Linked DNA regions of Ovis aries. The protein of the gene in region 3 interacts with the protein of the main gene of each other region in a pairwise test. Links are inferred from orthologs where the notes say so. Each region holds a gene or a part of one and is shown on either strand. Other genes may lie near its edges.

Region 1 (3,658 bases), on a different chromosome or scaffold from region 3:
AATCTGAGGCATATATAATTGTTAGGAATGTAAAAATTTCTATAATTCTAATCCAGACTGTCAAATGAGTTCATTGCTTTGAGAAAATGGAGATCAAGTTTTTCTCTTAAGTCACTTCCTTATATAATGTGAAAGTTCCTTCAGTTCTCATTGTTTACTAAGGATTTTGTTGCCACTAACGTCTTATACTGTAGTTTTGAGGAATATTCAGAGACAGTATGGAAGGTTGACTGCCTCAGCCATTTTGAAAGTAAAGCGCAAGTGAATAGTCTTTTTTTTTTATCCCACATTATTTTATTTGGTATTAATAATATTTTGGCTTGATACCATAAAGACTTATTTACCAAAGTCATTTAAGCCACTCTAAAGTGTGGGTCAACAAGCTTTTTCTGTAAAGGGCCAGATAGTAAATATTTTAGACTTTGTGGTAGACCATACAGTCTCTGTCACTGATATTCAGTTCTGCCATTGCAGCATGAAAGCAGCTATAGAAAATGAGAAAGTGAATGAGTGTGGCTATTTTCCAATGAAACTTATAAAAGCATCTGGCTCACTGGCCATAGTTTGCCAGTTTCTGTTCTAAAGGATGGTAATGAAAATAAACTTGACTAAGGAGTCAGTTTTCTTCTGCAACCCTACATACCTCATTTGATATGGGAACCACTTTTTTAAAGGAAACTGTGTTTTTGATCCGATGCTTCTTGTAGCTCCACAATTTTCATCCCTACTCCTGAAAATTACTAGTATAAGCCTGACATGGATGAATAAGTAAGATTTCATAACTATTTCTCAAAATTTAGGAAACCAGTGATCTGATTTTTATGTATTTAATGTCTTTTTATAACCTATTAACTAAAGAGGAAATTATGAATTATTTAAGAATTTTAGTATCTCTAATTTCTATTACAACTGATAATTGAGATGCTTATATTTACATATGAAAAATACATGGCTCAGGACTTCCTTGGTGGTCCAGTGATTAAAACTCTGTGCTTCCGCTGCAGGGGTGAGGGTTTGAATCCTTGGTTGGGGAACTAAGATCCTGCATGCTGCATGGCACAGCAAAAGAAAAAAAATAGATGACTAACTTAATTATTTTTTGTAGAACTGTGCTTTATTTTGATATTTTTCTCTTAAGAGATAAGCATATCATGATTGTCTGCCTATGAGTTAATCTGGTGACAGGAAGTAAGATTTTTTGTTTGTTTGTATTTTAAGGGACATCCCAAGACTCTGAAAGGATGAGTGATTCATGCAGACTCAGAAATTAAGCTGTGATTTGGGCAGACTTTGGGCATAAGCCATTTGACCATTTGGGTCCTAGATGAGTTTCTTTTCTATAGTTTTGTTCAAAATTTGAAGTAGTTGCTCATTTCAAGACTTATTAATCCTTATCAGAAATGTAGCACCCCTCTCTGCCCTAAGGAGGAGAGTGACCTTTTCAGAATTCCAGGGACACAATTTAGGGATGACCTAATCCTTCTTACAGCTCCCTGGGGACAAAGAGTTTGTATCATGGCAGCAGGATTTGGAGGACTCCGTAAAGCCCACACAGCAGGCCCGGCCCACTGTTATCCGCTGGTCTGAAGGAGGCAAGGAGGTCTTCATCTCTGGGTCCTTCAACAATTGGAGCACCAAGATTCCACTGATTAAGAGGTGAAGACAAGTGTCTTGGTTGAGTCTGCTGGGTCCAGGAGTAGAGACCCAATTCCCTTTCTCAGGAGAGAGACTTGGCTGGACTACTCCTCTCCACCTGCTAGGGACTTTCTCTAGAACATTTTTTGTGACCAGTAACTATATCTGTGACATTTTTTTTAACCTTATAGTGAGTCAGAGATGTTTTACCACTTAGAATGTCATTGCCTCAGAGGGACTTCCAACAGTTTTGGAGGTATGTTCTTTAGGATTGTGTTAATAGAAGTCCTTTCTATGCTTGTGGGAAGTCTCCCGTAACTGCCTGAGTCCAGTTGCCCTGACTTCTGCACTAAAACAAAACACGTTGTAAAGTTCTAGGTAGTAATGTTATTTGTTGCTTGCAGAGCAACAATGAGTTATGTAACTGACTATGGCCCTTTGTATATAGGTAATTTTCTAGAAAATGCTCACCAAAATGTGGAAAGAGTACCTTGAGGCACTTCATATCCTGAACCTACTTGCTATCTTTTTTACACTCCTGAGGGATCTGTTCTGCTGAAGCAAAATAGTTGTACTAAAGTGAAACATTCTGGGGGATTAATATCTTTATTGTTCTTTTTCAGATATTAGTTAAAAATTAAAGTTGTTAGGAGGGATAGCAAATACATGCTCAAGGGGATATAGAAAAGGAGAATGGGTTTATAAATTATTTTTCACTCCAGGGGGTGCAATCACTTAGGAATGTGGGAGATCACTGGTATGATACTGTGATTGCCTCATGGTTTTACATTTATCTTCTGTCTTCTAATAAGAATTTAGCCTGTTTAACTTTCTGTTTTCTTCTGTAGCCATAATGACTTTGTTGCCATCCTGGACCTCCCTGAGGGAGAGCACCAGTACAAGTTTTTTGTGGATGGACAGTGGGTTCACGATCCATCAGAGGTAAGACCTTGACCTCCGAGGGTAACCACTGGCTTAACAGTCTCCTTTTAGCTGTTATTCCGCTGGGTGTCAGATATCATTGCTGTTGGATTTCCCTGTTGATAAAAGATGGTGGTGTCAAGTATAATCTCTTCTAAAAAGAGGAGAGTTGAATGGATGAGATGTATTTGAAATGGGGATTCATGAATTTTTTTTTTTTTCCATTCACTGTTTCAGCCTGTGGTTACCAGTCAGCTTGGCACAATTAACAATTTGATTCATGTCAAGAAATCTGATTTTGAGGTGTTTGATGCTTTAAAGCTAGATTCAATGGAAAGCTCAGAGACATCTTGTCGAGGTAATTTTGTAGTATTTGCTCTTTCTTGATCTTTCCTTTCTTAAAATGCATGTTTCTTCCCAAGAGTGGTTTTTGTTTTTTTCATTTTCGACTTAGGAATCTTCCAAATTGTATGTATGTTTCTCCTGTAAACATTTAGGTCATATTCTCAGAGAATGAAATCTGTGTAATGTGTTTGATTTCACAGTAAGTGAAAGTAAATATATTTGATCTACATTAAATTTACATTGTAACCCAACACACACATCACACAAACCAGTAACATGTCTTGCACTATGATGTTTGCCTTTATTACATGTGAAGCACTTTATTTTCTACTTTATTCTTCTTTTTATAAACGACTAATGTGCTGTGATCTATAGTTTAAAAAGCTATTTCTAATAATATTTCAGTTTTTTCATTGACCTTTGACAGTATCAACTAGCAGGAGCTACTTATGTCTCCTGTGCCATGTTTAGCTGCCTCAACTTAATCCCGCCAGATTGATAGCTTAGTTGGCAGTTGTATATTTAATAGGCCCTACCCATATGGCAGTCTTTGGGGAAAAAAGAGTTATAAAAACCTCAAATTTCTTTTGTGTATATGTTAACTGAAATTTTTAAAGTTTTGGGTTAAAAAAAAAAAATCCTCAATAGAGGAATAGATCTCTATGCTTTTGTTTCTCCCAGTATTTTTTCCAAGGCCTTCATCTCTACTTATATTGACTGTAACACCAGAAAAGCGATTTGCTGTCCACATTCACAG
Region 2 (3,658 bases), on a different chromosome or scaffold from region 3:
AGAGAAAGAACTATTCACTGCTACATAGAAAGATGCCCTGATCCAGCAGGAGATAACCAACTTTTTGATTGCCATTTTAGATTATTATGCATTTCAAATTCCTTTAATATTTAAATAGCATATATTCCTTAGAAATTTAAGAGGCATGACTAAGAAAATACTATGGCTTATAGTCAAAATTAAACAACATTTCTTAATAAGTACAAAGTTATTTAAGAAGGCACATTATTAAAAGATGTTTAAAATTTTAAAGTCATTTCACAGAAAAAGTCTGTTGCTAAAAGACAAGTTTTAACACTGAGAATGGTTAACCAAAATTTAAGATTATCAACAGAATTTTCCTGCAGGTATTCATAAAAATGTCTATAAATTTCTAAAATGCTCAGAGTGTAAATGTTAACATTTTGTATTTTGGGGGTACATTTTTCTTGGATTACTCTAGCATTTAGGGGAGAGAAATTCTCCTACAAATATCACAGAGGTGATTATCAAATGTAAAGGTCTTGACCTTTATAAAAATAAGATAATTAATGACCAAGTCAAGAAATTACTCAAAGTTATTATGCATACTTGGGATAAAAATCTGTGATTCTCTGCAATGATATTATTTACTTAGGTTACGTGGTGCCACATGTGGGATCTTAGTGCAATAATCTTCTTAAAGAAATCAGAAAACTATCTATTCAGCTATAAAGAGATAAAAGTCAGTAAGAATTCACTAATGAAAAGGTCACCAAAATCTGAAAAATACTTCAATACTAAAAGACGAAAATAAATAAATTAGTTTTTCAAAACAAATTCTTGCATGGAAGCAAAGGGTTGAGAGTAAGTAAGTTTCTTCCACCTCTGACAGTCTATTAAAAAACCTAAGTTTTATTAAAGAATTCCAATCTTGGTAATCACATTTCACAAAGCACAATCAATAAAGGCTATTTTTACCTTGATATTCTGGGCATCAACATTAGCTCCAGCTTCCAGAAGAAGACTAATGACTGTGGTATTCCCTGCTAGTACTGCCCAATGCAGAGCAGTGTTTTTGTGATACTTGTCACCAAGGTTAACTGAAACATTGAATGTTAAAAGCAATCTAGTTGGATCCACACTGAAAAGGAAAAAAAAACACAACAACAACAACAACCCTAATTTCAATTATAGAAATCATTACAGACACTAAACTGATTGTGGTTATATTCCATCTTGGAACACTTCTATTCTAACCTATTTTCGACAACTTTATAATGAGTAATGAGACAACATTTTTAACATGAAGAATTAAGTATGTTCTACATCACAGAACGTAAAGTAAACTAGTTCCAAGAGAGAGCACACTTGGTCCTAATGTTTATATTCTACATCATGGAGTTAATGTCATTAGTATTTAAATACTTAAACAATTAAAATTTTAAATTTAAATCTAGATTGTTCCAAAAATGATTTAAGGCAACTTATTAATGTTAAACTTGCCAATATGCCAGTCATATAAAAAATGAGTTATACTTTTAATAAGAAGGTAGCATCTTCCATTCTTGGAAACTGCTTAAGACTACCTTAAGGGCACTACAATTGCCAACATAAAGGTAAACATAAAGACTCAAAATACCCAAAAGGATAATCTGTGTTATATACTACATATTCATGGTAAGAATTTTAAATACTAATAAGTATAACATTAATTGCTTTTTCTCATCACTTGTTTTACATTTTATCATGCTGAAAATGATCTGAATAAGTATTTCATAATGGTTACATACCTATGTGTTCTATAAGCTGCCCACATTAAAGGCGTCATCCCATTCTGATCCATCATATCTACATCCTGATAGAGTAAAAAGTCAGACAGTAAAAATGTCTAAGTCCCTACCACATGTACTTAGAAAAACGTAATTTACACATCACAAAAGAAGCCGACATGAGGACACCACTCAGTCAAGGTTGATTTATGAAACTTTTCCTTTCTTAACTTTAAAGTAAAACTATTCAATATTTATTAATATTAAATATTCAAATTAATATGGATATGTGTTACTTATTTATAAATAAAAACATGTATTTAATATTTAATTAACTTCTATTTATAGTTTTCTCTTTTAAGATGCTTCACTCAGCCTTTTAAAGATCTTGACCTACCCTTGATCTTTCACCCACAATGGACAGATTAAATAAATGACTTCTGTCTCTGAAAAACTTATTTATATTAATTCATGATATGAGGGAATAATAAAACCCTGTTTATTTCTAGACATTTTAAAACACAGAATAAATTCAATAAATTTTAAAAGAGTCAAATGTTCTGAATCTACTAAAATTTACTGAATTTGTTCCTTGTTTTAAAATGCTTCTTATCACTATATCACTATGCATAAATATTTTTAGAATTAACTATCTAGACAAAGTCTGTGGTGAAAAAGCAAGGTAATAAAGCAATCCTTTGTCTTAGTCCCTACCATTTTCATTTTTTAAAAACTCATTATTTATTGTGCTTTTTACTCCCACATACTTAAAATAAAAAACCTGAATTGGCACTTTTTGATTTTTCAGTTTCAGGCATTATCCTCAACATCCATATTTTACACAACCTCAGCATGTAAAATGGCATGTTCTCTCTCTTCTCACTGGCCCATCACAGGCATGCACCTTTCCTAGTCCTTCCTCTGAAGAGATAATAATTCAGGTTCTGTAAATATTTGATGCTTACATTATTATAAATATATATGAATACTATTCCCAACAAAGTTATGTAGAAACCATGATTACTTTTTCTCTCCTACCCAGCTTTTTGCTTTCCTTGGTACTCTATTTTTTTCTCCCTTTTGCTTAATTTTTTTTTTTCTTTTTAGCAAATTAGAATTAAAACTACAACCTATTCAACCCAAACTCTTCTCAAGTTATCTAAAGCTTCTTTTAAGACATGCTAATGTATCAGAGACTCTATTCATTTCACTTCCCTAAAATTCTTTCTTGACCCACTCCAGCAATCAATTTGGCTTGATTCTGCTATGTACCTGAGGCATCTGTCTCATTAACTAGAACAGGACTTCTTTAAAGATCAAAATTGTTTTAAAATCATCTTTGTATCTACTTTTCGGGGCACGGAGAATAATCAAAAACCATCTGTTAAATGAAAAGACAAGTTTATCTATCTACTCTTCTAGGCTTGGGAAAGGCATGGGTGTTAGAACAAGACAGACATGATTTTGAATTCCTAGCTCCATCACTTACTAACTGTAAAATTGGCAAAATTACTATAATTCTCTGAACCTCAGCTTTCCCATCTACAAATGTGAATACAAATAATGGCTTCATAAGATCCCTGATGATTAAATGGAATGATGTGTGTAAGGCAACCTAATCCTATAACAGACATTCAATAAAAATTGTTTCCCCTTCATCCCGTCCCCATCTCCTATTCCTGGACTACATCAAACCTGCAGATGTTATCCAACATATGCTGTCTAATCCACCGCCCAGCGGAGAGAACGTAGTCATAGTGCGTGCACTGTTAGAACGCTTCATAACTCTACGTGCAGTTCTCTGCAAGCCACTCTCACTGATGGGAGTATGTCTCCAACGTCCAAATATATTGAGGTAAAGAGAAAAAGAGCCGAGACAAATGATAACATATCCTCCTTGGACATCACTAATTTTAGTCTGTCTCATG
Region 3 (3,144 bases):
TTTTCCATGTCTTTTTCTTGTATCATGGTGATAAGCCTAACAGTCTAAAACCAGAGACTAGGAAAAACACGGCCAGTTAAGTCAAGAAAACATTTTGCCTCAATTATAAGCATTGATCTGTGTATACTGCATGCCTGAAACATAGAGACTGGTCAATAAATGTTGAACCAAATTCATTCCTCTGGTCTTAAATCAGCCTTGACATTCATTCTTAATAACTTTATATTAAAAAAAAGTCTAATGGTTCATCTTTTAGGTAAGTCTCCTGAATGAATTACTTAAGATTTTTTTTTAAACCTGCAAAGCAAAGGCTAGTCTGCAAATCAGCAAAACAAGAGCAGCCAAAATGAGCCCTCCTATGATTAATACTAAGTGAGTCAAGTGCTCAATTATTTCTCTCCTGATTGCTAGAATTACCCCTGAAAATCACCAAATCTCCACTTTACTTTAAAGCAGCAAGCATAAGAGTATCTCACAGATAACTGAAACTATGTCTGTCACTGAAATGCTATTTCTAAAATGGTTTCTTTTTCACTTCAAAAAAAAAGAAAAAAAAAAAGAAAATGTAAAATAAGACAATACAGCTCAGTTTAATTTCAAACGTTAATATATTTTCTATTTTATATTGAACATATGCATCTGTAACCCCTCATTGGCAGCAACTATCACATCCTCATAAAAGGGGCAAAATCTGTAAGATGCCTCTTAAAATAAATATTCTTCTTTATAAAATAATAAAACTTCAAATAAATATTCTTTACACTAAACAATATGTTGAAAAAAATTAGAAAATAAAGGTTGAATTTTACTGTAACTGTACAATATACATGAAGTCCAAAGGGAAATCAGAGTCTTACAATAAAGGCTTTCTGTAAGGCAAAATACAATCTAAAAACATACTGATTGATTCACATTCTTCCGAATGTACAACATATTAGTATAATATTTTGTGAATGTGCCGTATAGTACGGCACAACTTGTTTTTCACAGTTGCAAATATTATTGTATATACAAAAATATAGCACATTATCTCTGGAGAAAACAATCGGGGGGTGGGGGAAGGGAGAGGGGAAGTCATCTGCTAATTTACAAATTTTGCAAGTACTATTCACAAACAAAAACTTCACCTAGAGTGTCTATTGCTTTAGCTTATGCAACATGTAGGTCACCAAGGTCTGTATTCCACACTCTGAGCTCCACTAGCTGAGTTCTAACAAGCATATCAATTAAAATGGCACATGGATGAAAAAAGCATTTCACTGCAAACAGCACAGGATATCCCAACCCTCTATCAACAGTGCCAAGATTCTAGCTGTTTAGTTGGTTGCATATGTGTATTAAAAAAAAAAAAAAAAAAAAAAGAGGGGCAGAGGGAAATAATCCTTATGACTGCAATCTTCCTGATTCATGATGCTATGTTGGTTTTTCAAAGTTCCTGGGTGGGACAGTGGGAACTTTGCAGCAAACTGTGTTTGAATTTTTACAACGGCATCCGGGCCTGTTCACCCGGTCATAACACCCCTGGCACAATTTAAGGCAACCCTTGGCTGGCAGGTAACACCACAAGCAAGGCAGAAAGAGGGACATGACGCCCATGGCTGACCAACGTGTACAACAGTGTGACTGGCTACAAGAGCACGGGTTGTCCGCACAGTTGTCCTCATCGTCGTTGGAACAGTGATAGAAGAGACCCTTCACACAGCACACGCAGGTCCCGTAGTCGATCACATTCTGGGCCGAGCAAAGGCACTGCTTGTCGCAGATCCAGTCTGACGGCAGAGGCCTCGGGTAGGTGCACTCCTTGCACTTGCACTTGCCACAGTCCTCACACTTGTAGGCGTGCAGCCCTACATCTTCCTTGCTCAGTGGCTTCAGCTCACCTGGCTTGAGCTCCGATTTGGGCTGCACTCGGATGATCCTGTCTGCCAGAGGCCCCGAGGAGAAGGAGGATCCTAGGAGCCTCTGTTCGGAGGAACTGCTGCTAGTACTTGTCCTCGTGCTGCTGCGAGAGCCCGAGCTGACTGTGCTGATGGACCGGGCCAGAGGGGCCCTGGCTGAAGGGTGGGCCGGTGGGTGCTGGGGCCGGGCGGGCTGGCGGGGCTCCGGCAGCCCGTGGAGTCTTTCGTGTTTGTGCTGGGTCGTGGGGCGAGGAGCAGGCTTGAGCCCAGCTCTGGGGAGCACAGTGGGCCCCTCCGTGTACTCATTCGTGTTCCGGATGGCCCTGATCTGATCCAGAGATAGCACGTGTACCTGCTGGGGGAGGGCGTCCCTGGGGTCAGGCTCCCCACGCTGCCGGCCACTGTCACGGGGTGTCTGCAGCAACGGCTGCGACCCGCTGCCACTCTGAGCTCTGGCCTCCATCAGGTCTGGGAAGTGTAGTCACTCCAGCAGGCTTAGAACACATCTGAATTCCTGCGGAAACCAAGAGGAAGGAGACAGTTTACACTCCAGAATACTACCCACTCTCCACCCACCTGGCTTAACTCTTCACTCCCCACGTTCCCTGGAGAAACAGACTTTGAAAATGGAGTGGCTGTGGAACGTATTAGGATGGCCGTCTTATCCACACCTGTACCCGAAAGTAAAAATTACAGCTAGGTATCCACCGTTCTTTAATCCTGTGAAGTGTAGTGACACCAAACTGATCTTTGCTTCAATCACGAGTAAGGATTCCTTACTCGTATAAGCACAAAATCTGCAAGGTTCAAGTTCCCTGTAAAAACTGCAGGAAAGTACTCTTGGAATATAACATTCATACTGACATTTTCAAAAGCTGAATGAATACCTTTTCAAAGTGTGAAATAGGTTTCAACTTATGGTCATTTTTGCCTGGAACTTCAATAGATACAGCCTAGAAATTCTTGGTTCCTACTTAACATCTGCTTTTACATTAAACAGCTTGAACTATTCTGTGACTTTACAAAATCTCATAGGATGAAATGACATGCAAAAAAAGGGTAAATACTTCTCTTCCCCAGGAATATACACTTTATACAACAATCATGCATTATCATTAACTATATAGTAGCACGAAGTTATAGAATTGAAAACACATCAATTTAAATCCTGTTAGGTGCCAGGAATACAATAGAGCAAACTTACACCTCGAGCAACAAAAAGACAGGAACTTATTTTCAACTTTCC

What was found.
Region 1: the proteins of SPRY2 (region 3) and PRKAB2 interact in binary tests that used the Homo sapiens proteins (3 or more experiments, as listed by UniProt). The link is inferred for Ovis aries from reciprocal best matches to the Homo sapiens genes SPRY2 and PRKAB2.
Region 2: the proteins of SPRY2 (region 3) and ZDHHC17 interact in binary tests that used the Homo sapiens proteins (3 or more experiments, as listed by UniProt). The link is inferred for Ovis aries from reciprocal best matches to the Homo sapiens genes SPRY2 and ZDHHC17.

The regions. Positions count from the first base shown.
Region 1 is NC_056054.1:98,147,412-98,151,069, reverse strand, and holds part of PRKAB2 (5'-AMP-activated protein kinase subunit beta-2), read left to right. Parts: intron 1-1,489; coding exon 1,490-1,656; intron 1,657-2,483; coding exon 2,484-2,577; intron 2,578-2,793; coding exon 2,794-2,914; intron 2,915-3,658. UniProt on the Homo sapiens protein: Non-catalytic subunit of AMP-activated protein kinase (AMPK), an energy sensor protein kinase that plays a key role in regulating cellular energy metabolism.
Region 2 is NC_056056.1:112,711,696-112,715,353, reverse strand, and holds part of ZDHHC17 (palmitoyltransferase ZDHHC17), read right to left. Parts: intron 1,817-3,658; coding exon 1,752-1,816; intron 1,103-1,751; coding exon 940-1,102; intron 1-939. UniProt on the Homo sapiens protein: Palmitoyltransferase that catalyzes the addition of palmitate onto various protein substrates and is involved in a variety of cellular processes.
Region 3 is NC_056063.1:55,940,169-55,943,312, forward strand, and holds the end of SPRY2 (protein sprouty homolog 2), read right to left. Parts: intron 2,413-3,144; 5' UTR 2,362-2,412; coding exon 1,414-2,361; 3' UTR 590-1,413; downstream 1-589.